Linked DNA regions of Cricetulus griseus. The protein of the gene in region 1 binds, or shares a complex with, the protein of each later gene. Links are inferred from orthologs where the notes say so. Each region holds a gene or a part of one and is shown in the gene's direction. Other genes may lie near its edges.

The links.
Region 2: the proteins of Gnai1 (region 1) and Galr1 are in contact, whole or in part, in a cryo-EM structure (PDB 7WQ3), measured with the Homo sapiens proteins. The link is inferred for Cricetulus griseus from reciprocal best matches to the Homo sapiens genes GNAI1 and GALR1. Residues at the interface, in NP_002060.4 of Homo sapiens: Lys192, Leu194, Lys314, Asp315, Thr316, Lys317, Glu318, Tyr320, Phe336, Thr340, Asp341, Ile343, Ile344, Lys345, Asn347, Leu348, Lys349, Asp350, Cys351, Gly352, Leu353, Phe354; in NP_001471.2 of Homo sapiens: Thr70, Arg133, Ala136, Ile137, Ser140, Arg141, Ser143, Val223, Leu227, Lys230, Leu231, Asn233, Ser235, Lys236, Lys237, Ser238, Ser241, Lys244, Thr245, Thr248, Leu306, Ser307, Glu308, Asn309.
Region 3: the proteins of Gnai1 (region 1) and Gpr34 are in contact, whole or in part, in a cryo-EM structure (PDB 8XBE), measured with the Homo sapiens proteins. The link is inferred for Cricetulus griseus from reciprocal best matches to the Homo sapiens genes GNAI1 and GPR34. Residues at the interface, in NP_002060.4 of Homo sapiens: Glu28, Ala31, Arg32, Val34, Leu194, Asp315, Glu318, Ile319, Tyr320, Asp337, Ala338, Asp341, Ile343, Ile344, Lys345, Asn347, Leu348, Lys349, Asp350, Cys351, Gly352, Leu353, Phe354; in NP_001091048.1 of Homo sapiens: Asn87, Ile89, Arg152, Lys155, Ile156, Ser159, Ile160, Gln161, Gln162, Lys164, Ile166, Leu245, Ser253, Lys254, Pro256, Asn257, Lys260, Tyr261, Thr264, Asn267, Ser268, Val271, Met330, Ser331, Ser332, Arg335, Lys336.
Region 4: the proteins of Gnai1 (region 1) and Xcr1 are in contact, whole or in part, in a cryo-EM structure (PDB 9AST), measured with the Homo sapiens proteins. The link is inferred for Cricetulus griseus from reciprocal best matches to the Homo sapiens genes GNAI1 and XCR1. Residues at the interface, in NP_002060.4 of Homo sapiens: Glu28, Ala31, Arg32, Leu194, Asp315, Phe336, Thr340, Asp341, Ile343, Ile344, Lys345, Asn347, Leu348, Lys349, Asp350, Cys351, Gly352, Leu353, Phe354; in NP_001019815.1 of Homo sapiens: Glu63, Thr66, Arg127, Ser130, Val131, Pro134, Leu135, Leu138, Val140, Arg146, Tyr205, Leu212, Ser215, Ser217, Lys218, Arg219, Arg222, Thr223, Leu226, Ile227, Val290, Gly291, Val292, Lys293, Phe294.
Region 5: the proteins of Gnai1 (region 1) and Ffar4 are in contact, whole or in part, in a cryo-EM structure (PDB 8ID3), measured with the Homo sapiens proteins. The link is inferred for Cricetulus griseus from reciprocal best matches to the Homo sapiens genes GNAI1 and FFAR4. Residues at the interface, in NP_002060.4 of Homo sapiens: Ala31, Arg32, Val34, Leu194, Gln304, Glu308, Lys314, Asp315, Glu318, Ile319, Tyr320, Thr321, His322, Phe334, Asp337, Ala338, Thr340, Asp341, Ile343, Ile344, Lys345, Asn347, Leu348, Asp350, Cys351, Gly352, Leu353, Phe354; in NP_001182684.1 of Homo sapiens: Arg71, Ala73, Thr74, Arg136, Cys139, Ile140, Leu143, Gln144, Arg145, Gly146, Ile230, Ile233, Thr234, Ser237, Arg238, Arg240, Leu241, Ser244, Leu245, Ala246, Tyr247, Ser248, His251, Arg254, Gln258, Arg261, Leu262, Leu266, Leu269, Met323.
Region 6: the proteins of Gnai1 (region 1) and Htr1a are in contact, whole or in part, in a cryo-EM structure (PDB 8PKM), measured with the Homo sapiens proteins. The link is inferred for Cricetulus griseus from reciprocal best matches to the Homo sapiens genes GNAI1 and HTR1A. Residues at the interface, in NP_002060.4 of Homo sapiens: Arg32, Lys192, Asp193, Leu194, Lys314, Asp315, Glu318, Phe336, Thr340, Asp341, Ile343, Ile344, Lys345, Asn347, Leu348, Asp350, Cys351, Gly352, Leu353, Phe354; in NP_000515.2 of Homo sapiens: Arg134, Ala137, Ile138, Pro141, Ile142, Tyr144, Val145, Asn146, Ile218, Ala222, Arg225, Ile226, Lys228, Thr229, Met335, Arg339, Lys342, Thr343, Thr346, Leu347, Asn404.
Region 7: the proteins of Gnai1 (region 1) and C5a anaphylatoxin chemotactic receptor 1-like are in contact, whole or in part, in a cryo-EM structure (PDB 8HK5), measured with the Homo sapiens proteins. The link is inferred for Cricetulus griseus from reciprocal best matches to the Homo sapiens genes GNAI1 and C5AR1. Residues at the interface, in NP_002060.4 of Homo sapiens: Arg24, Ala31, Arg32, Glu33, Val34, Lys192, Asp193, Leu194, His195, Lys314, Glu318, Tyr320, Phe336, Thr340, Asp341, Ile343, Ile344, Lys345, Asn347, Leu348, Lys349, Asp350, Cys351, Gly352, Leu353, Phe354; in NP_001727.2 of Homo sapiens: Asn71, Arg134, Leu137, Val138, Pro141, Ile142, Cys144, Gln145, Asn146, Phe147, Arg148, Ala150, Thr229, Arg232, Arg233, Ala234, Thr235, Arg236, Ser237, Lys239, Thr240, Val243, Val244, Ala303, Gln305.

Annotation. Positions count from the first base shown.
Region 1 is NW_023276806.1:175,922,431-175,925,930, forward strand, and holds part of Gnai1 (guanine nucleotide-binding protein G(i) subunit alpha-1), read left to right. Parts: intron 1-2,346; coding exon 2,347-2,389; intron 2,390-2,478; coding exon 2,479-2,620; intron 2,621-3,500. UniProt on the Homo sapiens protein: Guanine nucleotide-binding proteins (G proteins) function as transducers downstream of G protein-coupled receptors (GPCRs) in numerous signaling cascades.
Region 2 is NC_048595.1:233,140,610-233,144,840, forward strand, and holds the start of Galr1 (galanin receptor type 1), read left to right. Parts: upstream 1-1,431; coding exon 1,432-2,106; intron 2,107-4,231. UniProt on the Homo sapiens protein: Receptor for the hormone galanin. The activity of this receptor is mediated by G proteins that inhibit adenylate cyclase activity.
Region 3 is NC_048604.1:119,203,975-119,206,896, forward strand, and holds Gpr34 (probable G-protein coupled receptor 34), read left to right. Parts: upstream 1-1,211; 5' UTR 1,212-1,297; coding exon 1,298-2,422; downstream 2,423-2,922.
Region 4 is NC_048597.1:230,777,829-230,780,701, reverse strand, and holds Xcr1 (chemokine XC receptor 1), read left to right. Parts: upstream 1-1,176; coding exon 1,177-2,193; 3' UTR 2,194-2,373; downstream 2,374-2,873. UniProt on the Homo sapiens protein: Receptor for chemokines SCYC1 and SCYC2. Subsequently transduces a signal by increasing the intracellular calcium ions level. Receptor for XCL1/Lymphotactin.
Region 5 is NC_048596.1:23,682,747-23,686,990, reverse strand, and holds the start of Ffar4 (free fatty acid receptor 4), read left to right. Parts: upstream 1-1,444; coding exon 1,445-2,011; intron 2,012-4,244.
Region 6 is NC_048595.1:323,737,568-323,740,831, forward strand, and holds Htr1a (5-hydroxytryptamine receptor 1A), read left to right. Parts: upstream 1-1,495; coding exon 1,496-2,764; downstream 2,765-3,264. UniProt on the Homo sapiens protein: G-protein coupled receptor for 5-hydroxytryptamine (serotonin). Also functions as a receptor for various drugs and psychoactive substances.
Region 7 is NC_048602.1:10,938,766-10,943,057, reverse strand, and holds the start of C5a anaphylatoxin chemotactic receptor 1-like, read left to right. Parts: upstream 1-1,492; 5' UTR 1,493-1,650; coding exon 1,651-1,791; intron 1,792-4,292.

The DNA of each region.
Region 1 (3,500 bases):
ACCTAGTAAACTTTAGGCAGTTTTCTCCTGAGATGTTTCAAATAGGCCATTTAACTACAACTCATTTTCAGATGTCCTGTGTGTGTGTGTGTGTGTGTGTGTGTGTGTGTGTGTGTGTGTGTGTGTGTGTGTTTCTATTTCTGTGGCTGCAAGAGGGAAAGACAAAGGCAATACTGAAGTTTAGCATCAATGAGTTCTAAAATCTTAAATCAATGTACCAGCTTGTCTGCCTTCTGGTTGGCTCACTGTGTGATGACAGGTGCTGAGAATCCCAGTAGAATCAGACAAAGGAAGGCAGCAAGTATTACGTGTGGAACTCTGGGAGGGACTGGCAGAGGAGATAAATGTGGTGGTTGATAGAAGATCACAGATGGCAAAAGAAAGTAGAACTACCTTGTTGGGGGGTGGAGCAGGGGAGATAGTGTTTGAAGGATTTCGATATGATCAGTCCTGGGCATTCTTGTGTTTATATTCTTAAGTAATGCTTGCTGTGCACAAAGCATGGGAACATCTCTAGGAAAACAGGAGAAGGAGGCTCTCGAAATACACTAGCCAGGAACTAAGTCTTTCTCAAACAGGAACTAAGTCCGGAACATGTGGCCATGCTAAAAAAATAAAAAAAGGCCACAAATGTGTGAAATTGTCAGACATTGCCATGTCCTGTGCTCACATGTTCTCAACACACAGAAAAACTTGGTTGGTCTAAGGTGACACAGTAAGAGCATCTACTGCTAAATGGAATGAGAGTGAAAGGGGACCCTGTTTCTTTGGTAGTAGTTATGGTATAGTTATATGGCATAAAGCCTGGGTTTAGCTCTTAAGGAAACCTTTTGCTCCTCCCTCTATTCCTCCTCTCTCTCTTGTCCTCTCTCCCCTTCCTCCTCCTCTATCCCCTCATCCATTATCCCCTTCCTCACTTCCTCCTCATTGTAGATTTACTTATTTTGTGTGTATAAATGTTCTTCCTGGATGTGTGTTTACCATGCATATGCTTGGCACCTGTGGATATCAGAAAAGGGCATCAAATATCCTGGCACTGGTATGAGGATGGTTGTGATCTGCCATGTGTGTGCTCTGAATCCAACCTGGGAGTGCTCTTAACTGCTGAACTATCTCCACAGCTCTCTGGATTGTTTGTTTTTATATTTATTTTTATTTTACATGTATGAATCTTTTGCCTGCATGTATGAATATGTACCACATACATACCTTGTGCCTTCAGAGATGAGAAGAGAAAGTTGAATCCCCTGGAACTGGAATTATAAGTGGTTGTGAACTGTCCAGTGTGGGTACTGGGAACAAAACCTGCTTCCTCTGTAGGAGCACCAAGTGCTTCTAACCACTGAGCCATCACTGCAATCTCCCAACTGGCTTCTTCATAACACTGTCCTTCTACTTCAAAGGAGCTGAAAGTTACTATTAAGATATTTTCCCAACAGTTGAAATGTGGAACAAAACCATGATTGAAACAATTTATAATACTTCAGTTTTCAATCAGAGGTGATTTGTTTTTATGTCTATGTTTTTTTGGTTTTGTGAGATACAGTCTTGGTGGCTACCTTGAAACTCACTAGGTAGCTAGGGGTCACTTTAAATCTGCCTCAGCCTCAAAAATGCTGGGGTTATAGCTTGGATATACCATGCCAAGCCAAGGACTGGATTTCTTTTTAAAGCTTTAGGGAATATACAATAACAGAACACTTTTTTTTATTTTTAACTGAGTTTATTGGCATTGAAATTATTATGAAGTAATGGAAAAATAGACTTCAATCTGAGAATTCTTATGTTCGGAAACAAAGTTCATTTTAAATTTTATTGTTTTATTATGTTTTAAGATGTGCAATGTACTGTTAAGAGATCTACATACAGTGAAGTGGTTACCATAATGAAAAAAAAATAACATTTGTCATTTCACACAATTACCCATTTTTCTTCCTATGATAAAACTACTTACTTAGCAAGATCCTGAGTACAGGGCTGGGTACTGATCAGTGCCAGAGCATTTACTTGCCTTGAATATGTGAGGCCCAGGGTTTGGTCCCCAGCCCCACAAGAAAGAATGGGAAGGAGGAGGTGGAGAGGGAGCAGGATGATTCTGAGACCACTTCCTACTGACTGTGATATGCATGTTGTGCTCTATGTCTTTGCTTCTCTATCCTCCGTAGTTGCTGCTCTGTATCTTGTTTTAATGCAATACCAGATTCAGTGTGAGTGATATATAGGGTGTGAGCACACCTGTGTGTGTGTGTGTGTGTGTGTGTGTGTGTGTGTGTGTATGTGTGTGCTGGGAGCTGGAGATTCTTAAGTGCTGATGCTGAATGAGAAAATCCTTCTTTTGTTTTCTAGGTGCTGGTGAATCTGGGAAAAGTACAATTGTGAAGCAAATGAAGTGAGTAGCTGGAGACAGGGCAGTATGTCTTCCTGGCTCTGAGTGACGGCTATAAAGGAAGTGTGCTTCTTTTCCTCTCCTCTCTTTAGAATCATCCATGAGGCTGGTTACTCAGAAGAAGAGTGTAAACAGTACAAGGCAGTGGTCTACAGTAACACCATCCAGTCCATCATCGCCATCATCAGGGCCATGGGGAGGTTGAAGATAGACTTTGGAGACTCTGCTCGGGCGGTAAGTAAGTCAATGAGTTTGCTGGAGCAGGTCTGAGGAGTATCTCATGGGATAGTCCTGTAGTTATGTAACTGAGGCCAGACAGCTACTGGGAACGCTTGACATACAAAGTGCAAAGGACAGGCATGAGTTGGGAGCCTTGGAAGTAAGTACTTTTCACCTGCTGCTGTTTCTACTGACTTATCTGGACTGTTAAGAATGACCGAAGTTTCTATATAACAGTGTATTAAAGTCTTAGGAACTTTTTGTCAATCCTACAAAATGCCTGTACAAACCCACTCAAGTGGGGACAACTTGATTTGGGCTCACAGTGTCATAGTCCATGGTTGGCTGTTTCCATTGCTGAGGTCTTGAGACAAGGCTAAAACAACATGGCAGGGAGGGTGTTGCAGCAGTGGGTCACACCATGGTAGGTAGAGAGAGAGAGACAGGGAGGGGCCAAGGACAAAATATTCCCTTTGAAGACATTCCCAGTGACCTGATTCCACCAGCCAGGCCCCTATTCTAATTGCCTGGTCACCTCTGGATTTTTCAGCATTTTAATTCACTATGATGCTATGGCCTACCACCCACTCCCATCCAGACATCTCTCAATAGGCCATTAGCTGGGGACCAAACATTTATCATGTGGACATTTGCAGCCCTTTTATACCCAGACCATAAGATTTAGATCCTCTCTACCCCTATGCTCATCTGCTATTACCATAATAAAATACCAGAGATAATTAGCTTAAAAAGACAAAAGGTTTATTTTGCTCACCAGATTGGATATTTCAGTCTACTACTTGGGAAGCTGAGGCAAGAGGCCTGCTGCAATGAGAGCAATGTGGACTACACCTTGAGTACTAGGTCAGCCAGTGCTACACAGCAAGGAAACAAA
Region 2 (4,231 bases), on another chromosome or scaffold:
TGTGCTAGGAGCCAATGTCCTGGGCACAGAGCTTTTCCAGGACCCTGCCTGTGTTTACTCTTCCTCCGGCCTTGTGTCCAACAGTTGTGGTTACGCACACACTGGAGGACCCTGGCTTATTTGAAAGCGACGTAGTTAAGCCCTTCCTACACCGTGTACATGCAATGGCAGGGTTTTCTTTCCGTGTCTACTACCAGATAGGCAGCTGTTTCTAGTTGGTTTGCCCTGGTTTCAGCGGTGGTGGAAGTCCCACACCTCTTTACAAACACACCACTTGTCAAGGCTTCCGTTCGTTCGTGTCACGCAGATGAGTAATGTGTGGTGGAAATGACTGATCTCCGAGGTGTACGGTGTGCGCAGGACACGCTCCTAATGAAAACTCCATTCACCCCTGCCTCTTCCCTGCTCAGCTTGTGACTGGATGAGGGAGGGAAAGAGGCAGCGAATGTGACAGCACCTCCGGTAGCAGGACCAACCTTTTGATTTTTTTGTGAGGTTTATTTCTGCTCTTGCTGGGAGCGGGAAAGACCAGGGTACGGTTGGCAGAAGGGCTGCACAGCCTGTCGCCTCAGCCAGTCGCGCACAGGAGCTTACTCAGCTTGGCTGCCAGTGCGAAGAAGTCTCCTTCGAGGGACCAGAGCAGCTCTCCAACAAGGAGGTGGGCTGCCACCCATCTGGGTGAGGGCGCCCAGGCTCAGAGAACAAGCTGTGCTTTTTCAGGAGGGACTCCGGAGGCACAGGGGAGACGCAGTTGAGTTCTTACTGCTCGCCGCCCCCGCCCGCCCCCCCCCCCCCCGTGCAGAAGAAACTCTGCCCGCCACTGGGAACCCCAGAGAGAGGTTTGCCCTGCAGAAGACCAGGGAGAAAGCAGGAGGGAGCCGCAGCGCAGCGCAGCGCTTAGTGTGGGAAGCTCAGCGACTCTGCACTATCCAAGGTGTGCAGCACAGTGCCCTGACAGCTCGCTTGGATAAAGAGGCTCAGAGCAACAGGTGCGACCCCACGGCACTGCGGGAGCAAGGGGACACGGCCAGAAAAGGATTAGAACCGGTAAGGCGCAAAAGACCAGGCTGATCGCGTGGTCGAGTCCTATCAGCCCAGCTCGCAATCGGAGGAGTCACACAGAGGACCAGTACCTCTTGTGTTGTGGAGTCCACCGCCCCCGCATGGGAAGGTTCAACTAGGTACTTGCAGCACCGCCCCCTCTGTAGCCAGGCCAGGCACCAAGGACAGTTTGACCAGGCGCGGCCCGGGGCGCTGCCCCCTGCTCTCTTTTCAGGTTGCTGGGGGTTCTGGCTGGAGATACACGCTCTCACTGCACTGTGCCGAGACACCCGGAGATTCTCAGCTATCCCCAGAGCCCGCCTTCCCTGCCTGGCACTCCTTCCCAGCGCTTTCCGTTGCATAGACACCCAAGGGGTGTGCCAGTAAGTGATGGAACTGGCTACCTTGAATCTCAGCGAGGGGAACGAGGGGAACGGGAGTGATCCAGAGCCTCCCGCGGCTGTGGAGTCCAGGCTGCTGTTTGGCATCGGCGTGGAGAACTTCATCACGCTGGTGGTGTTCGGCCTGATATTCGCGATGGGCGTGCTGGGGAACAGCCTGGTGATCACTGTCCTGGCGCGCAGCAAACCTGGCAAGCCGCGCAGCACCACCAACCTGTTCATCCTCAACCTCAGCATCGCAGACCTGGCCTATCTGCTCTTTTGCATTCCCTTCCAGGCCACCGTGTACGCACTGCCCACTTGGGTGCTGGGCGCCTTCATCTGCAAGTTCACACACTACTTCTTCACTGTATCCATGCTCGTGAGCATTTTCACCTTGGCCGCGATGTCTGTGGACCGCTACGTGGCCATCGTGCACTCGCGGCGCTCCTCCTCCCTCAGGGTGTCCCGCAATGCGCTGCTGGGCGTGGGCTTCATCTGGGCACTGTCTATCGCCATGGCCTCACCAGTGGCCTACCACCAGCGTCTCTACTATCGGGACAACAACCAAACCTTCTGCTGGGAGCTTTGGCCCAACCAGCTCCACAAGAAGGCTTATGTGGTGTGCACTTTCGTCTTTGGCTATCTCCTGCCCTTACTGCTCATCTGCTTTTGCTATGCCAAGGTGAGTGGGGAGCACTGTCCCCCCGACCAAGCCTCTAGCATCCTGCTCCTCTGCTCCTTCTACCTCTCCATTCCATTTTGTCTCAGCTTGCTCTATAATGATTTGTGACACAAGAAAGTTAACTTAGAGTTTGAGAGGTACTGGGGAGAGTTCGCATTCCTGTCTAGAGAGACTTTCATTCTGCTTTTCTTCAAGGGCACTGCAGCTCTGCCTCAGGTGGCCTCACAAAGCACAGAGGCAGGTGTGTGTCCCAGATCTGCTGGGACACACCATGGGTGGAAGGGCAGCTGCTGTTTCCCAGCAAGGTTTTGTGGACAGCGTTGGGGATCCAGGTGGTGAGCTTGGTCTGGAAAGGGGCAGCAAGAACACACAGCGAGGGGAGCTATATGATTATCTATCTTGTCGTCATGATTTTGGAAGAACCTGTGGCTCACAACTCCTAAGGAATTGCAGAGAAATGGGCATTTACATTAATCAAAAGTCTTAGACTTCTCAATCACCACCTGATGCACCATTAATCATCCAGAGTGTATTTTTAGTGGCCACTTGATGAGGTTCTTGAGATAACCTCAATGTCATATCTCTTTTTAGGGTACTATGAGAACTAGCGGGGAAGGGGGGAATCCCTGCAAGGCAAATTCTAAAGTTTCCATGCAACTTTATCCTTCATTGACTCCCAATCTTTTGGACTGTGGGCAGTAGGACCATAAACAACTTCCTATCTAGAAAAGCAATGGTTTCTTACATCCCACTATAAGGTACATCTCCACCAGAAAAATACATTTAAAAGAATCCATCTTCCCCACGTCTATGTGATCAGTATGTCTTTTGAATGGCCATATTACTTAAATGAATACACTGGCTCCCAAGATGCTTGTACAGCCTAGCTGTCAGGAAGTAGCCAATTTATTCCTTTGGTCTTTTCAAATGCAAGGCAAAGACTTCTATGCACAGTGAGTTGTGGGGCATGCACACACACCCATGAGCTTGGTCTTCGAGCCTCTGGGTGGGAATTGCCATCTCTATCTTATTAATAAGAGGACTTTCAGAGGGATGCAACAACTGACCAGATGGTGAGTCTGGTAAAAGAAGGGGTTTCAGGAGATGACAATTAATTGGCCTCTGGAGGACAGGGGCTGGGAACTAGAGCTGTACTTAAAATATTGCTCTTTTAAATTCCTAACTGCTACTTTGAAAAGGAAACACAGGCTCTCTTCATCCCCTGCCCCAAGTCCCTAGGGGGAAAACCATTTCCATCTTTGTGGAAATGAAAAAGTAAACTTTTAGGACTAAACAGGCTGTCAATAAAGAGTCTACAAAAGTCCCACAGAAGACAAAGTCTAGGAACTAATGAATGGGTGAAAATTTGACTATTTTTTCATCCAGAAATAGTTGGCTTCTCACCAAGTAGTCTAGCTGCAAACATCTTTTGAGTCAATGTTAATACTTGCACATTTATTCCAGGCCCTAAATAGCTACAGATAAGAGACCTGGAGTTGCTGTTTTCTGTCAGGCAGTAAGTAAGTGTCATCTAGTTAATGACTCTAGAACTTGAGTGCCAGGTTCTGAACTGGCTATATGTCCAAGGAATTGGGCCAACTCGAGGAACCACAAATGGCCAAAATAACACTTGAGATTGGTGTGTATTTTAGATTTTTCTTTTTAAAAAATCAATGAATAAATTGCATTTATTCATTGATTCAGAGATGATCTTCTCAGCTGTGTTTAGTGAGACAGCTCTTTGCACCTCAAAGACCCTGGAGAGCATAGTGAGTTGGAGCAGCCTGTGTTCTTCAAGACGGCTCCTCTCTGCACTGTAGGGCTCTTGACTGCCACTCTCTGTCCTCAGCATGCATTCTGCTTAGAGCCCTCCTAGGTCTGAAGTGAGGGCATGCCCACTATGCTCATTGTCTCCAGAGATAAAATCATAAGTGGTCCCAATGTCTACAATCTCTTGCTTGATGGCAGGACCTTGTGCCACTATGTGCTTATAGCCTGAGCTGTGGAGGGAAAACAGAGCTAAGAAGAACACATTTGGAATCATCTCTGTGGACTGATCAGCAAAGTCAATATGCTTAGGTGCTGCAGAATTCCTGAACTGGAACCCAACTTAGTTGGCCTGACT
Region 3 (2,922 bases), on another chromosome or scaffold:
ATGTATGTATGTATGTATTGTGTGACATGAATGTGCCACTGCACACATCTGGAGGTCAGAGAACAACTTGTGGAGTCAGTTTTCTCCTTCTACCATGTAGATCTTGGAGATCAGATTCAGGTAATTAGGCTTGGCAGAACATACCTTTACCCTATCTCATCTGCCCTCTGCTATAAAGTTTTTATGTTACACCCATGAAAGGGTTTTACAGAAAAACAGGGCCGTTACTATAATAAAGGAATATGAGGAGACCTGCTTGAATTATCCTTACATATATAATAGGCCCCAACAGTCAAATGCATGAGAATTGTCCAATAACAAGTAGCTCTGGGACCAAGTAGAATTGACATACTTAGAAGTTTCTGGTGACAATCTCAAATGATATAATCCAGAGCATAATTAAAATGTAGTTAGTTAACCACATGGAGTCATAATCTTGGACTCCATGTGTTGTTTCCCATCTATATTACTGCCCCAGGCTTCAAGGGTGGGAGTGGTTTGTTGGCTGCTATCTGATCTGGTACTGTATGACCACTGAATTCTCCTGTGAAGTGCTACACGAGTCTGTGAAAGGAGGTAGGTCCCAGCCATGGTCTGTTTTGATAAGTTTACATTCCTATAGATAAGTAATTTTAATACTCCTATCTTGGTCTTAGGTGAAGGAAGAAATTTGGGATCCTCTTTTCTATTGTCTCTGTGGAAACAGAGATCACTACAGCTTATCCAGTAATACCATGTGGCAATGTGTGTCAAAATGAATGGATGCCAACTATAAGGGAAGGGGAAGGCCAGGAAGCATTTCTGAAAAGCTGGGCAGGGTCAGCAGGGAACTCAGCTCACCCATGACAACAAGCAACTTTAGGGTACATTTATATGCATCCTTGAAAAAATGAGCTGCTGTTTCTTTTTACTATCTCTATTCCCATAATAACAATGCTAAGAAATGATGCTCATATGGTTCAATTATTTATTTTAATATAAAAATGAAATGAACTCTGTACACATGCCATAGCAACAGAAAAGGTTAGGGATCCTACTGTATTTTTTGCTGTCTTGTGATGCAATAATGCTACTACACACATTGTGTAGATAGCCAAATGGTCCCAAATAAGGTCCAAAATGAAATCCTTATTTATGTTTTGTGTTAAAGCAGCTGTTATTAACACAGCAAAGGACTCAATATTTGCCATTCTATTGTAGGAAAACATGAAGAAATAAAGAAGTACACACAAAGAGCATGTCATTAAATACTCTGTTCTGAGGGCTACAGAAGACACTGAGAAGTCACACTGTAACAATGACGACTACTTCAGTTAACAGCTGGCCTTGCTCCTCCTATGGAATGCACTTTATAACGAATCACAGTGACGAATCCTCACAAAATTTCTCCACAGTGCCAAATGATACTAGCTGTCCAATGGATGAAAAACTACTATCTACAGTGTTAACAACCTTCTACTCTGTTATTTTCATCGTGGGACTGGTTGGGAACATCATTGCCCTCTATGTATTTCTGGGCATCCACCGCAAAAGAAATTCCATTCAAATTTATCTACTTAATGTGGCCATTGCAGACCTTCTACTCATCTTCTGCCTCCCTTTCCGCATAATGTATCACATCAACCAAAATAAGTGGACACTAGGTGTGATTCTTTGCAAGGTTGTGGGGACGCTATTTTACATGAACATGTACATCAGTATTATTTTGCTTGGGTTTATCAGTTTGGATCGCTATGTAAAAATTAATCGGTCTATACAACAAAGGAGGGCAATAACCACCAGGCAAAGTATTTATGTTTGCTGTATAGTATGGGCAGTTGCTCTTGCTGGGTTTTTAACTATGATCATTTTGACACTGAAGAAGGGAGGGCACAATTCCACATTGTGTTTCCATTACAGAGACAGGCATAATGCAAAGGGAGAAGCAATTTTTAACTATGTTCTTGTGGTAATGTTCTGGCTTATTTTCCTACTGATAATCCTCTCATATATTAAGATTGGCAAGAATCTACTAAGGATTTCTAAAAGGAGGTCAAAATTTCCTAATTCTGGCAAATATGCTACAACAGCTCGGAACTCCTTTATCGTACTGATCATTTTTACTATATGTTTTGTGCCTTATCATGCCTTTCGATTCATCTACATTTCTTCACAGCTAAATGAGCCTTCTTGCTACTGGAAGAGAATCGTTCACAAAACCAATGAGATCATGTTGGTTCTTTCCGCTTTCAACAGCTGCTTAGATCCAGTCATGTATTTCCTGATGTCCAGTAATATTCGCAAAATCATGTGCCAACTTCTTTTTAGAAGATTTCAAAGTGAAGCAAGCAGAAGTGAAAGTACTTCAGAATTTAAGCCAGGGTATTCCCTGCATGATCTATCTGTGGCAGCCAAAATGCAGTACAATACTAAGGGTAACTGAGGCAAATGTGCTAAAATAAAATGATACCAGCCGGCTTCTTCCTTCCTTGAGATTGGTAAAATTATGGAACAAAGCCCCAGCATATCCAAAACCCAGATCTTCAGAAGTGATCTTTCACTTGCTTAACTGTAAAATAGTTCAAGGCAAAGAAAAGCTTACATTATCCCTTACATTTTTAGAACTATATGTAGAATCTTCTCAGAACTTATTGTTAACACGTTTAACATCAGTTATAACATTAAGTGAAATTCCTGGATTTAAAAACAAAATGAATGAAGTGACATTGTTTTTCAAGTCACTAAAGAGTTACTAAAATTAGGCACTTGATACTAATTTTAAATATGTTGAAAAATAAAGCAATTTGGGGATTGTGTTGAAATGTCAGAAAACATGTTTGGTACTTCAACAGCATATATTGCTTGCTGATGTATGCATTTATGCCTAAATCTCTGCTAACAAATGAGTTAATAAAATTCTAATCAAAGTGAGACCACCCACTA
Region 4 (2,873 bases), on another chromosome or scaffold:
CCTATCCTATGAAATGGATGTATATGTATATGTATATGTGTATGCGTATGCGTATGCGTGTATGTATGTATGTATGTATGTATGTATGTATGTATGTATATATATTCCCTGTGATCTTGCAACTTTCTTATAGAAAGTATCATAAGCACAGTACCCCCCACACAGCAGGTGATGAGAACTCACTTATCTGATTCAGATAGCTGCTGCTTCTAGCTTTCTACTCTCCTCCTCATGTGACTCAGCAGCTTCCATGACTCATCCAGATGAAAATTCCAGCCCTTCCAGTCATTTCTTCAGCCTTTTCATCTCACTGTTTCTAATAGTTACCAAAGGCAGTTGAATAAGTTTGGCTCACTATAGTTTTCTGAGCTTCTTTCCCCCTTGTCTGCTCTAGACACGTGTTTATAAGACTTGTAAACTAAACTCTCAGCTGAAGACGTTTTCTGCCTTGAGATGTGATCCTTAGTGTTAGCAAGGATTCGTCCTTCCAGAATCTTTATCTGTAGCTTGGGCATTATTTTGCTTTGTCTGTGCTCTCACTTCCTTGGCATTTCCCAAGAAAGAGAAAATTTTTCAACACAAGCGTTTTATCAAGGTCTATTCAGTTTATGAACAGAAAATGAGAGAGAATGGAGAAAGTGAAAGGAGAAAAAAAAGGAGGGGAGGGAGAAAGAGAGGAAAGACAGGCACAACACTCTCTAGCCATTTATTGAATAATGACATTGAATAAATGCTCTGTATCCATATATTGAACAATAGAATGAATTAATCTGGTAACATGAGCCCTTTTGTATACAAGAAACTAAGGCTCAGAAAGTTTTTTTAAAAATGATACATGGACACAATAGCAGAACCCACTTTGGTTTCAAGTCTTTCAGTCCAATTGCACTTCTCTTTTCACCTACATCTACTGTGAACTTGAGCTATCAAGACTTCTCAGTTGCCAGTCTACCAGAAGAATGGGGCTTGTGACAGAATATAAATCAATGTTGCATGTCCTTGATCAAGAAAATCTTTCTATGGAAAAGAAAAAAATGTTCCTTACTGACTTTATATAATGGCCCAATTCTCAATCTTGTTATAAATAGCTCACCAATGGAATCTGGCCCATGAACCTTACTTTTTTGTAACATGGGTCCTAATAATCTCCTCCTACCATATGGATTTAAACCCCACATGTCTATCATTTCAGATGCTCTCAGCACCACTGCCTCCTGGGACAAAATGGAGTCCTATGATTATTACTATGATCTACAGAGTCATCTATGTGAGAGCGAGACCACCTTTGCCAACTTCACTGCTGTCCTCTACTCTCTGGTATTATTCCTCAGCCTGATGGGTAACAGCCTGGTTTTCTGGGTCTTGGTGAAGTATGAGAATCTAGAGTCACTCACCAATGTCTTCATCCTCAACCTGTGTCTCTCAGACCTTATTTTCTCCTGCCTGCTGCCTGTATGGGTCTTAGCGCAATACTGGGGTTGGTTGCTGGGTGATTTCCTCTGCAAACTCCTCAACCTGATCTTCTCCATCAGCCTCTACAGCAGCATCTTCTTTCTCACCATTATGACCATCCACCGCTACCTGTCTGTAGTGAACCCCATCTCTACTCTGGGCATCCATACCCTCCGCTGTCGTGTGCTGGTGATCACATCTGTCTGGACAGCCAGCATCCTTTCCTCTATCCCTGATGCTATTTTCCACAAGGTGAATGTCTCAACATGTGACTATTCTGAACTTCGTGGGTTCTTGGCCTCAGTCTACCAGCACAACATTTTCTTTCTCCTCTCCATGGGGATCATCCTGTTCTGTTACAAACAGATTCTCAGGACCTTGTTTCGTTCAAAGTCCAGACAGAGGCACCGGACAGTCAGGCTCATCTTCACCATCGTGGTGGCATACTTCCTCAGCTGGGCTCCCTACAACCTCATCCTCTTCCTCAAGACACTGCAGGAAACTGATATCATCCAGAGGACCTGTGAGATCAGGCAACGGCTGGACATGGCTATGATCATCTTCCGAATGTTGGCTTTCTCTCACTGCTGCTTCAACCCAGTGCTTTATGTCTTTGTTGGGGTCAAGTTCCGCAGACACCTAAAAAGTCTCCTTCAGCAGGTCTGCCAGAAGACACTCACCCCCGTCCCATCCTCCTACTCCCCAGGTGCCTTTACATATGAGGGCCCCTCCTTCTACTGAGAGGAGAGGATGGGTACCCAGAGGTGACTAGGGATGCTGGAGAAAGGCAAGGAGAAGTAGATCAGGAAGGAACACTTCAGAAGACACAACAGTGGAGATGCCAGCAACTATTGCAGGGGTGTGGAGGAACGACATGACAGCTGTGGGAAAGTGGCTTCCAGCTGGGCCATCCAAAGCAATACTTCCTGGACTCCGTTCATCATTCATTCTCTCACTTAGACATAGATTGCTTATCAGTGATTGGTCAGAAGATCCTAAATAGAAGGATTTGCAGACATTGGGTGGGCTCAAACTCTCAGCATGTACGAATTGGACAATGGGGTTGCTGGCACATAGGATTGCCAAACCTGATCTCTTTTGTTTGTTTTTTGTTTGTTTGTTTTTGTTTGTTTTGTTTTTTGTTTTTTTTTTTTTTTTACTTTGGTGATGTCTGGTTCTGTGCTTCTTTTCAGCTTCTGGAGAAAATGTCTTCAGGATAAGAATAGTTACATCCTCAAATAAGTATAGTCACAATGAAGTCTAGACCATAAAATCCCTCTAAACTGAAAATAGTTCTATATTCTGGCAACAACTGCTAATACACAAACTAGCTTTTAAATATTTACCCCATAATTGAATGCAATATGTGCTACCATCTAAACTAAATATTTAGACAATGCAAGAATGAATAAGATATTGTT
Region 5 (4,244 bases), on another chromosome or scaffold:
CAAACAATTAACTGTGCATCTGGCGATTCCTTTTTACAAGGCAGAGTACGTGTGTGTGTGTGTGTGTGTGTGTGTGTGTGTGTGTGTGTGTCCCTTTGGGTTGTCCCCTCTGATCTTTCTCCCCTTCCCCATCTCTCTGCACAGAACCGGTATCTCTTGACCCCAATCAGACTGTTCCCAAAATGCCATCTCTGAGGCTCCTTTATTTCAATCCTTTTGCCCTTTACAACTGTGTCCAAAGCCCAGCTAGTTCTACTTTGCAGCTTGAAGCTAGTCAAACCCCAAGCTGAGCCTCTCCTACTGACAAGGGATCTGCTCCTCATATTAGAAGTCACATTGTGTCCTCACAAGTGGGTGACAAGCAGAGAGAGGCACAAAGGCATGCATTTGCAGACACCACAGCAAACTGGCACATGCTGTTCTTCATAAACGCACAGAGACAACCACCAGGCAGAATGGGCAGAGGGAGAGGCCTGGGTGTGAGGCAAAGGGAGAGGGCATGAGGTCATAGGTAACTGGAGAACTTAGAGGAGAAGTGGCGTCTAGATCTCAAGCCCCAAACACACTTTTAATTCTCTAATTACCTCCTTTTCTAGAGAAGGAAACTAGAAAGCAGTGGTAGGTGGTGTGGTGGCAAGGAGGAAGCTGAGGGGCCAGGATCTTATGAGTCACCAAAGGCCATCTTGAACATGTCATTCTTGCTGAGACAGTATCAGACTGCCCTGTGCTTCTCACACTCGGTGCTGGAGGCACGTTTATAGCTTGATTGTGCACTGGACCTCTTTCCCACCCCTCCCACTTCCCTTCTCCCTTCCCCCTCCCTGAATTACCACGCTGGATATCAAACCAAGTGCTGGGTAATGGCTCTACTAAGGAAGCAACTTCTCAGGTAAAGTAATTCCTGCTTTACAAATGAAAACAAACAAACAAACTAGTGTACAAAGAGATTAACTCACTCTGAAGTCAAACAAATCCCGTGCCACATTACAAGTTGCTATAGTGCATTCTGAACTACACAGGTCCCCACGATTTCCAAAGTTCAACTCCCGACACTCTTCAATCGAGGTTAGCTAAATAGGTGGATGGATGGATAGAGCTTCCAATAATGTGTCCATGAAAGGTGAAGAAGGCTGTACTGGGGAGAGGGGACAGGGATTATTTTAGTTTTCCGGTTAAAGAACTCTCAGACTGCCCAAGAGTCTGAGGCCTCTGCCTTGGTGACCACATCCCTGCCCACGGTGCTCAGGCCAGTGTTGCCAGGCACTTCCTCGTTCCGGGGCGCCCTGGACGCCGCTCCTACGCCCAGTGCCTGGGCAACTCAGGCAGGAGGGGGCCAGAGGGGAGGTGTCGTAACCGCCTCCCCTCCCTCTCTCCCCGCCTTGGCACTCAGCTACCTCGCAGATGAGCGCTCTCGCAGACTGCAGCGGGCGGCCGGGCGCCCGGCATGTCCCTTGAGTGTGTGCAGAGGACGGGCACTGGCCCCTCGTGCACCCTGGAACGAGACAATCGCACCCATTTCCCTTTCTTCTCGGATGTCAAGGGCGACCACCGGCTAGTGCTGAGCGTTGTGGAGACCATCGTGCTGGGGCTCATCTTTGTGGTGTCACTGCTGGGCAACGCGTGTGCCCTGGTGCTCGTGGTGCGCCGTCGGCGCCGCGGGGTGACAGTCAGCCTGGTGCTCAACCTCTTCTGCGCGGACTTGCTCTTCACCAGCGCCATCCCTCTAGTGCTCATCGTACGCTGGACCGAGGCCTGGGTGCTGGGCCCCATCGTCTGCCACCTGCTCTTCTACGTGATGACCATGAGCGGCAGCGTCACGATCCTCACGCTGGCGGCGGTCAGCCTGGAGCGCATGGTGTGCATCGTACGCCTGCAGCGCGGCTTGAGCGGCCCGGGGCGGCGGGCGCAGGCAGCGCTGCTGGCTTTCATCTGGGGTTACTCAGCGCTCGCCGCACTACCCCTCTGCATCTTGTTCCGCGTGGTTCCGCAGCGCCTTCCCGGAGGAGATCAGGTGAGCCCTGGCTGCGTGCAACGCATCAGGTGTCCCGGGCGGCTGGGATAGGGTGGGGGTGGGGGGATCGGACCGAAGTGGTGAGCTAGGATGATGGTGATTAGTAACAGTAATGGGTCGTTTGTGGAACTGAATCCTTTCTGGCAGACTTGCTGAAGTTTAATTTCATCAGTTTCCGTCTAGTGCCAAGTGGGTAAGTAAATCCTCCCGAATGCTGTTAAAGGGACTCTCCGGGACTTTTGCAAAATGAAGCGACTATTATAAGGCAAATTAAGCAACGTGAGCTTACGCCCAGATGGGACAGCAGGGTCTAAGGTGGCTCCTTGTGGAGTTGCTACTTTCTTTTCAGATGCCACGCTACTGTTACTATCACATGTATTTTACAGAAGCTGGGGCACTCACCGTCTGTCTCCCTTAGACCTGGGCTAGTACTTAAAAGTGCTGTCCCAAAGAGAAGGCTTATAGTGGGGAAGGGTTCCTGCTGCAGAGTTAAACTTACTCTGACCAGAAACATTGGCTGTGTGACCCCACCGGAACCCTTGAAACCCTGTTCTTAGAAGTTTGTTTCTTGTGTGGAGAACTGTGGAGGGAGATGTTTGTTTGACAATGACTTTGAATGGCTAATGAGCAGGAACTCATCAGGTCTGTGGCACTTCCTTAAAGAACATGCAAGCCTGTGACCAAGTCTCCCAGGGTGGGTACAGGAGATAGGGTTAGTTGAGTTGATGATACTGCTGGCCTGGAAGAGACATAGGTTCTCTATCTCACCCCGGGGTTGTTCTCAGCCCAGATAGGCTTGGGCATCAGGGCAGACTACACATAGATGCTTCTGGAATAAGTGAACACTCAGGCCTAACTCCACATCAAAGGGTCAGGTAGGTCACAGGCATGTCCAACCTGTATCCAACAGACCACATGTCAATATTATGTAGATAGCTATGAAGATGACTGGACACAGATGACAATGCCGTGCCACAGTCTCAAAATGTTGGACACCCCAATAAGAGCAAGGCTCTGCCGTCAGTTATCTGTTTAAGCTGTTTGTTCACTGAATTACAACAACATTGCTTTATTTTTCATAGAATTTAAAGGATTTCTTGTTCTTAACACAGAAAGATTTCAGTTTCAAGAATTAAGACCAAATAAGATATCTCAAATTTTCAGATGCACTGTCCCTTTTAAAATTCATCCAGGTGCAATCCTATTTAGCTGGCAAATAACACGAAGAAGAAAGAGGAGGAGGAGAAGGTCTCATCTCCTCCCAGCCAAACCCCAGGCTGAAACTGTGCACTACTGTGGTCACTGGGGCTGGAGCCATGAGGTCCTTGCTTGTGTTGTTCAGTGTGTATTCATCCTGCTGGGAGGGAATGTGTGTGACCGAGACACCTACAGCACTTCCAGAATATTACTGCAGGTTCTTCTGTGGAGATCATGGTTAGAAACCTCTTGTTTTAGTGAAAAAGCACCTGTTGGATTTCAAGGGTCTTTGGAGGGGCATTTGGGCAAAGCCACTAGAGTAGAATGAGCTGCTGTTGTTTTAGGGGCTAGGTGACAGGAGGCTAGTTATTGAAAGTAGTAGGGTTGGCATGGGGAAACTTGTAATGAAAAAAAAGAAAAAATGGGACAGTGTTCTGGCTCCCTGTCTTTCTTGTCATCTCCTCTTCCTGACTGTCTCTCTCCCTCTTCCCATCTCTCTCTCTCTCTCTCTCTCTCTCTCTCTCTCTCTCTCTCTCTGAATTATACTCTTTCTCTTCCTCTCTCCCTCCCTCCCTCTCTCTCCCTCCTTTCCTCTCTCACTCTCATTTTTTCTCTTTTCTTTTTTTCCTCTTTTTTCCCTCATTTTATTTTGGAAACACTGTCTCTGTTGTATATCTCTAACTGCCCTGGAACTTTCTAAGTAGACCAGGTAGGCCTTGAATGGGCAGAGATCCTCCTGCCTTTGCCTCAGGGTGCTGGGATTCAAAGCATGGGCCATCATGCCCAGTTAACTATCCCCTCTCTTATAGAATGGAGCTGTCCCCACTTCTTTGAGGCTTTATTTCCCACCATTTTAGCTACTGTGGCTTCAGTTACCCATTGACAACTGAGATCAGAAAATATTAGGTGGAAATTCCAGAAAAATAATCCTAAATTTTAAATAACTTTTATTTCAGTCTATGGTTATAATTTGTTGATTTCTGGCTAATCTCTTACTGTGTCATACTCATAACTTAAAATTTAGCCTAAGGGTGTA
Region 6 (3,264 bases), on another chromosome or scaffold:
TATGACGTTTCTAGATGGCGCTCTGAAGCACTTGCCGGAAGGTGGCGGCATAAGCAAGCCCTTCTAGCGTAGAGCTGTCCCAGGTGCTGAACCCAATTTCAGAGAGCTGCAGAGCGGGTAGCGATAGGGTCTTCAGAAAGTTCTCGGAAGATTTGCAGACTGGTGAAGGAGACAAAAGTCCAAAGTCCATAGGAAATGCAAGTCCTTGTTTACAATGCATCTATGTATTGTAAGCCATTTCTTTCCACAAATTTACTTGCTACAAAGCAATAGGAGGTGTTAATGACATTGAAATGAAGAGAGAAGTGATGAAAAGTGTGTGTGTTTAGAATACACACCTACTTGGAGTTTTTAATCTTTTCTTTGCGACCCAGCTGTTTATCAGCTCTTGTCCTTTAGCGTGTCCTTTATAATTTTTCCCCATTCCACAAGGAAACTAGGAAAAGGTCATAGGCACCAGCACTCCAAGATAGACTAAGATGTCAAATGAGACTGCGTTTTTAAGAAGCTAAGACCCACACTCTCAACCTAATAATTCAGAGGGTGACCCGGGGCTGCCCAAATTTCCAGGCTTCAGGCTTTCTGTATCTGTCCCCATTTTCTATAAGCACACCGTGAACCTGGCTCTACTTGAGAAGTTGACAGAAATAAAGGGAATGGATGGTAGGGAAAGATTTTTGTCTCCCTCTAGTTTCCTGGGCAGGAGGCGGAGTTTCATCTGCTAAAACATTGGTTTGACTAGCGGATCGGAGTGGGCATGTGAAGTGAGTTCTGAGTGTGTCGACTCGAATGTAAAGACGCCTGTCTAGAAGGATAGGAGGAGGGCGGGGACCTAGAGGAAGGAGACACACTCTTGGCTGGGGAAGTATTGGGTGGTGGTGGGGGTTAGCGTGGGAGGAAGGGAGATTAGCTGTCTGAGCAACATATATAGGGATAAAGAAAGAGGGGTGAGAAGGAAAGGAGAACTGAAAGGAAGGCCAATAGGAGGAAGCCGAGAGAAGGAGGCTGAAAAAAGAAAAACCGAGACTAGAGAAGTCCGGAGGGAGAGGGAGAGAAGGAACTAGGAGACCAGGGTCACAGAATGACCCCAGAGCTTGGGGTTTCTGAGATTCTAGACTGATTGCTAGTCGGCAGAGTCGGGCTCCCGCAGCTAGTTGGGCAGCGACAAAGTGAAATGGACAGCGTGAGACAGATGTTCCAGCCACCTCTCCACCACTCAGAGATTTGGAAGCTGCTCTGGGGCTAACTACAGTTTCCTAGCTGGAGCCTCTGAGCGCTCGGGACCCGCGGGAGCCAAGCAAGAGAGCGCGCCGGGAAGCTGCCCCTCTCAGATGCCTTCGCTAGAGCAGTAAGAACTTCCCGCTCCAGTCCCTGGATCCCCTCCCTCTGAAATTCCCCAGAAAAGGAGGAAGACCCTAGGGGGAGGGGCGAGGGAGATCCCCCTTGCAGCTCTTTCCCCCTCCCTTCCCCCACCCCACCGGGCGTGCAGGCAGACATGGATATATTCAGTCTTGGCCAGGGCAACAACACCACATCTTCCCAGGAGCCCTTCGGGACAGGCGGCAACGTTACTGGCATCTCCGACGTGACCTTCAGCTACCAAGTGATCACCTCTTTGCTTCTGGGCACTCTCATTTTCTGCGCGGTGCTCGGCAATGCCTGCGTGGTGGCTGCCATCGCCCTGGAGCGCTCCCTCCAGAATGTGGCCAACTATCTTATCGGTTCCTTGGCGGTCACCGACCTCATGGTGTCAGTGCTGGTGCTGCCTATGGCTGCTCTGTACCAGGTGCTCAACAAGTGGACTCTGGGCCAGGTCACCTGCGACCTGTTTATCGCCCTGGATGTGCTGTGCTGCACCTCATCCATCCTGCACCTGTGCGCCATCGCGCTAGACAGGTACTGGGCGATCACTGACCCTATAGACTACGTGAACAAGAGGACGCCCCGGCGCGCCGCTGCGCTGATCTCGCTCACTTGGCTCATTGGCTTTCTCATCTCCATCCCGCCCATGCTGGGCTGGCGCACCCCGGAAGACCGCTCGGACCCCGATGCATGCACCATCAGCAAGGACCACGGCTACACCATCTACTCCACTTTCGGCGCTTTCTATATCCCTCTGCTGCTCATGCTGGTTCTCTATGGGCGCATCTTCCGAGCCGCGCGCTTTCGGATCCGCAAGACTGTCAAGAAGGTAGAAAAGAAGGGAGCAAGCACCAGCCTCAGTACATCGTCGGCCCCGCCCCCCAAGAAGAGCCTGAACGGACAGCCAGGTAATGGGGACTGGAGGCGCAGCGCTGAGAACAGGGCTGTGGGGGCTCCGTGCGCAAATGGCGCGGTTAGGCAGGGTGATGACGAAGCCACCCTGGAGGTGATCGAGGTGCACCGAGTGGGTAACTCCAAAGACCACCTGCCGCTGCCCAGCGAGTCGGGAGCAACCTCCTATGCCCCCGCCTGCCTGGAGAGAAAAAATGAGCGGAATGCTGAGGCAAAGCGCAAGATGGCCCTGGCCCGTGAGAGGAAGACAGTGAAGACTCTGGGCATCATCATGGGCACTTTCATCCTCTGCTGGCTGCCCTTTTTCATTGTGGCTCTGGTGTTGCCCTTCTGTGAGAGCAGCTGCCACATGCCTGCATTGTTGGGTGCCATAATCAACTGGCTGGGCTACTCCAACTCCCTTCTCAACCCAGTTATTTATGCTTATTTCAACAAGGACTTTCAAAATGCATTTAAGAAGATCATCAAGTGCAAGTTCTGCCGCCGATGATGATGGTGAAGAGGAGGATGGTGTTGGTGGAGAAGGAAGGAGAAGGGGAGGACTGTAGGGGTTACAGGATCCTCCCCGTTCACTCAGTGTCTCAGCCCTGGAAGCAACACCTGAGATAACTTGCTTTTCCTTATGACATGCAGCTTCTTGGCCCATGCTTTCCGATCTTGCTCTCTTTCTATTCCATTTCAAGGAGACAGTGCTCTTTGCAGAAACCTTAGAAGCCTCCTAGAGTCTGCAAAAAAGTTATTGGCTAAGTCTTTGGCCCTAGGATCAGTTTTGATAGTTGCAATAACCTCCTCCCTCTTCGAAATTAAACCTCGGTGGTTCAAGGCAGAAAATCCAAACAGAAAATATAAGCTGCATGGACGTCTGCCAGGAGAACTGCCACCTCTCTGCCCTACTTCTGGAACTTTGAGATTCAAGACTTTGCTCTGTCTTTAGAAACATCTACTCCCCTTTGGGTGTCAACCTTCTCCACTGAGTCTGGCTCCTATGTA
Region 7 (4,292 bases), on another chromosome or scaffold:
GTACTTTCATGTAGTTAGCTAATTTTTAAAAAATATTTTATTTACTTATTATGTATACAACATTCTGCTTCCATGTATATCTGCACACCAGAAGAGGGCACCAGATTAAATTGTAGATGACTGTGAGCCACCATGTGGTTGCCGGGAATTGAACTCAGGACCTGTTGGAAGAGCAGTCGGTGCTCTTAACCTCTGAGCCATCTCTCCAGCCTCCTGCTTTTTTGGTAGAGCAGACAGTAGAATCTCTCACAAGCCCACCAGACCAGTGTGGGAAGGCCCCTTGTGTCTCAGCCCTGTCGTGATGGATTCACCACCTCCTGCCTCAGGAGCCAGCGTGGCGGCAGCCTGGAGCTGCACTCAGCCTGGCAGCAGGTTGGGGTTAGTAATGATAATTGCCACACTATGGTGGCCTTTCAGCTTCAGGGATCCACTGACAGTTCAGCTGCTCTTCTTGGAGAAATGGGGGCCGCAACCACCTGCTCGGCTCGTGCACCTTCCACAGGGGACAGGTTTTCCCGGGCACTGGTGGCTGTGGATGAGAGAAAACTAACTCACACTCCTGTGTCCTGGGATTGGATGCACCACTTAATCAGATTTTATGCTGGAAATGGAACCCAGGGCTTTGAGCATGCCAGGCAGGAGTTTTACAAACCGAGCTATGATTCTGTCGTTTGTGCTTGTTTTTATTATTTGATTTCTTTCCTTCCTTCCTTCCTTCCTTCCTTCCTTCCTTCCTTCCTTCCTTCCTTTCTTTCTTTCTTTCTTTCTTTCTTTCTTTCTTTCTTTCTTTCTTTCTTTCTTTTTCAAGATAGGGTTTCTCTGTGTAGCTTTGGAGAATGTCCTGGAACTAAATCTTGTAGACCAGGCTGGTCTCGAACTCACAGAGATCCGCCTGCCTCTGCCTCCTGAGTGCTGGGACTGAAGGCGTGCGCCACCACTGCCCGGCTTGTTTTTATTATTTGAGACAAGGTCTCACTCTGCAGTGCAGGGTGACTCTCCTGCAGCAGCCTTCTCCTGAGTGCTAGGATTACAGGGGTGTGTTATCACACACACCCACCTCCCATGGGAGAGAACCTTAAGACCTGGGCTAGCTCTACAACCCCGAGTGTGCTTTATCTCTGGAGAGACGGCTTAGCAGTTAGAGAGCACTGACTGCTCTTCTAAAAGGACCTGAGTTCAAATCCCAGCACCCACATGGTGGCTCACAACCCTCTAACCATCTCTAGTGGGATCTGATGCCCTCACCTGGCATAAAGGTGTGTATTCAGAGAGAGCACTTATAAATAAGTAAATAAATCTTTAAACAAACAAACAACCCCTCCTCCAAAAAAAAGGCCATCTGTTTGGGAGTCTGGGGCTGTGGTTACCATCCTTATTCTCTGGAAACCCCAGGAACCCTGAGACTTCCTTCTATTGAAGCAGAGTCCCCTTCAGATGAGGGAACCAAAGCCTGTATAGTAAGACAGCTACATCTACCACAATGGAGAAGAGGCCCTGGAAATTGCCTTTTTCCCTTCCGGGGCCAGAGACTTCCTTATTTTTCCAAGCCTGCCTTTTTTCCTTGGCTTGGGTAGCACTGGGAGGTGCTGAGGGTTTTCTGGGAGAGCACCAGTGGAGGGAGCCCCAACTCGAATGGTCAGTGTGTGACCAATGAGCACCTCAGAGGGACAAGACAGTCACTTCCTCCCAGCTGCTTGCATCTCTTCTTTAAAAAGCACCACTCCGTCGACAGGAGGGACCTTCAGGCATCCGTTGTTGGTCGCCACAGAGCCCAGGTGGAGCCAGGACATGGTGAGTGGGTTCCTCCCCCCCTCATTCTCCCCGTCGGCCTCTGTCTGCCCTTTCCTCCTTCAAGCTGTCTTCATCTGCTCTCTCCCACCTGCACACGGAGTTCATACACTGGGGATGGGATGTGGTCGGGGACCAGGAGGAGTTACGGAAACCACAGCAGTCTCACAGGGCTGCACAACTGAGAAGGTTCTTCAGGTCAGAAAACCCTGGCATTGGCTCTCCTAAATGAAGAGTTCTAGCAGTTGGGCGTGGCAGCTTACACCTGGAATCTAAACCCTCAAGAGGCTGGGGCAGGGTGCTGCCTGCAGTTCCAGGCCAGCGTGGGCTACATAGTGAGTTTCAGGCCAGCCTGAGTTACACTGTGAGCTATGGTGTTAAAAGACAAATGGATTGGAGATACAGCTCAGGTGTGCTCGGGGGGGGGGGGGGAGTGCTGCAAGCCCCGGGTCTAATTACCAGTACTCAGTAAAACAGGGTGTGGTGGTACGTGTGATCCCTGCACTCCCGTGGGCGGTAGGAGCAGAGGAGTTGGATGTTGAATCTTACATAGTGATTTTCAGGTTAGCCTGGGCTAAGTGAGACCCCTGTCTCAGAAAAGCAACAACAAAAACATAATTTTACAAACTACCCAGCGTGGTGGTGCACGCCTGCTATTCCAGCTCTCGGGAGGCAGGGGCAGGTGGATTTCTGACTTCGAGGATAGCCTGGTCTACAGAGTGAGTTTCAGGGCAGCCAGTGCTACAGAATGACACCCTGTCTCAAAAACAAAACAAAACAAAACAAAACAAAAGCCAAGTCTTGGCAGCAGTTTGGAAGGATGGTCATTACTGGGTCATTACTGGAGAAGTTAGATGGGGAACTGCAGCCTGGAGTCTGTGTCCCTCTAAGCGGGTCCCTTTTTAAAATTTATTTGATTTATTTATTTAGTTGAGCTATATGTTTTTCCCCCACTCCCAATTTACTCAGGAGATCTTGTCTTTTTCCTTTTCCTAGGCAGATCCATGTAGGTCTCTCTTAGGGTCGTCTTTGTCAACTAGGTTCTCTGGGGTTGTGGTCTGTCGGCTGGTTGTGTTTTTTTGTTTTTTTTTTTTTTTTTTTTTTTTTTTTGCTTTATTTAACTTTATTTTGTGTGCATTGGTGGGAAGGTGTCGGGTCCCCTGAAACTGGAGTTCCAGACAGTTGTGAGCCGCCATGTGGGTGCTGGGAATTAAACCCAGGTCCTCTGGAAGATCTGTCAGTGCTCTTCATTGCTGAGCCATCTCTCCAGCCCCAAGGGTACTTTTTTTATGCCCGGGCCCTGAGGTTAGGACATGGTGCTAGGAGAGTTGCGATTTGGCACCTCTGTAACAGAGGATATGACCTTGCTTCCTCCACACAAAAGAGGAAATGGAAAACTCGATGACCAGGGAAGTTGCAAGCTTTCTTCATCCCTGGTCCCATGTCATCCTCTGGCCCTGCCCTGACCAATTGGGGTTTGCAGAACAGGGAGGGCTATAATCGACTGTTCTTTTTCCTTTTTACACAATGTTCTGGAGCACCAAGTCACTCTATTGAACCCTGGCCTGTTGAGTCCCCGATTTGGGCTGCCGTGTTAGGCCTGTGCTCTATGACTAAGCCACGCCCCCAACCCCTTACTGGGGGATTCTAGGCAGGGGCTCTACCACTGAGCCAAACCCCCAAACCCCTCACTGGGGGATTCTAGGCAGGGGCTCTACCACTGAGCCACACCCCCAGCTCCTCACTGGGGGATTCTAGGCAGGAGCTCTACCACTGACTTACATTTCAGTCCTTGATCTTTTAAGACAGGATGTCACTAGCTCAAGATGGTCTTAATCACGTGAATTGTCTTCCTTGGCCTCCCCAGTACTGGGGACTGGGGTTACAGGCATGTACCACTACCAAGCCTTGTTCCTATACATAATTTCCTTTCTTCTCCTTCTCCTTCTCCTCCTCCTCCTCTTCCTTCTTCTCCTCCTTCTCCTTCTTTTGTTTTTCCAGACAGGGTTTCTCTGTAGCTTTGGAGCCTATCCTGGCACTCGCTCTAGAGACCAGTCTGTTCGAGTCCAGTCTAGGCTGGACTCGAACTCACAGAGATCCACCTGCCTCTGCCTCCCGAGTGCTGGGATTAAAGGCGTGCGCCACCGCCACCTGACTTTTTACTTCTTTTGAATAAATAGGTTTTAATATTGTGAAATAGGCAATTACTGAGCGATTACTGCATGCCAGTCATCCTGCTAAGCACTTTTGATTTGCCACACAAGTAAACACTCAATACGGGGGATACAGAATACCCACGTGTGTCAAGGGTGTCACAGCCCTTTTAACAGTCATGCACTGTCCCAGTGGGAAGTTTCATCCCCTCTCAATGGAGAGTTAGCTTCTGTCCCCCCCCACTCCCTTCTGAAAGAGTCTCACTATATAGCCCTGGCTGTCCTAGAACTCTGTGTGTAGATGAGGCTGGACTCACACTCCCAGATGCTTGGGTGTGCACCACCACACCT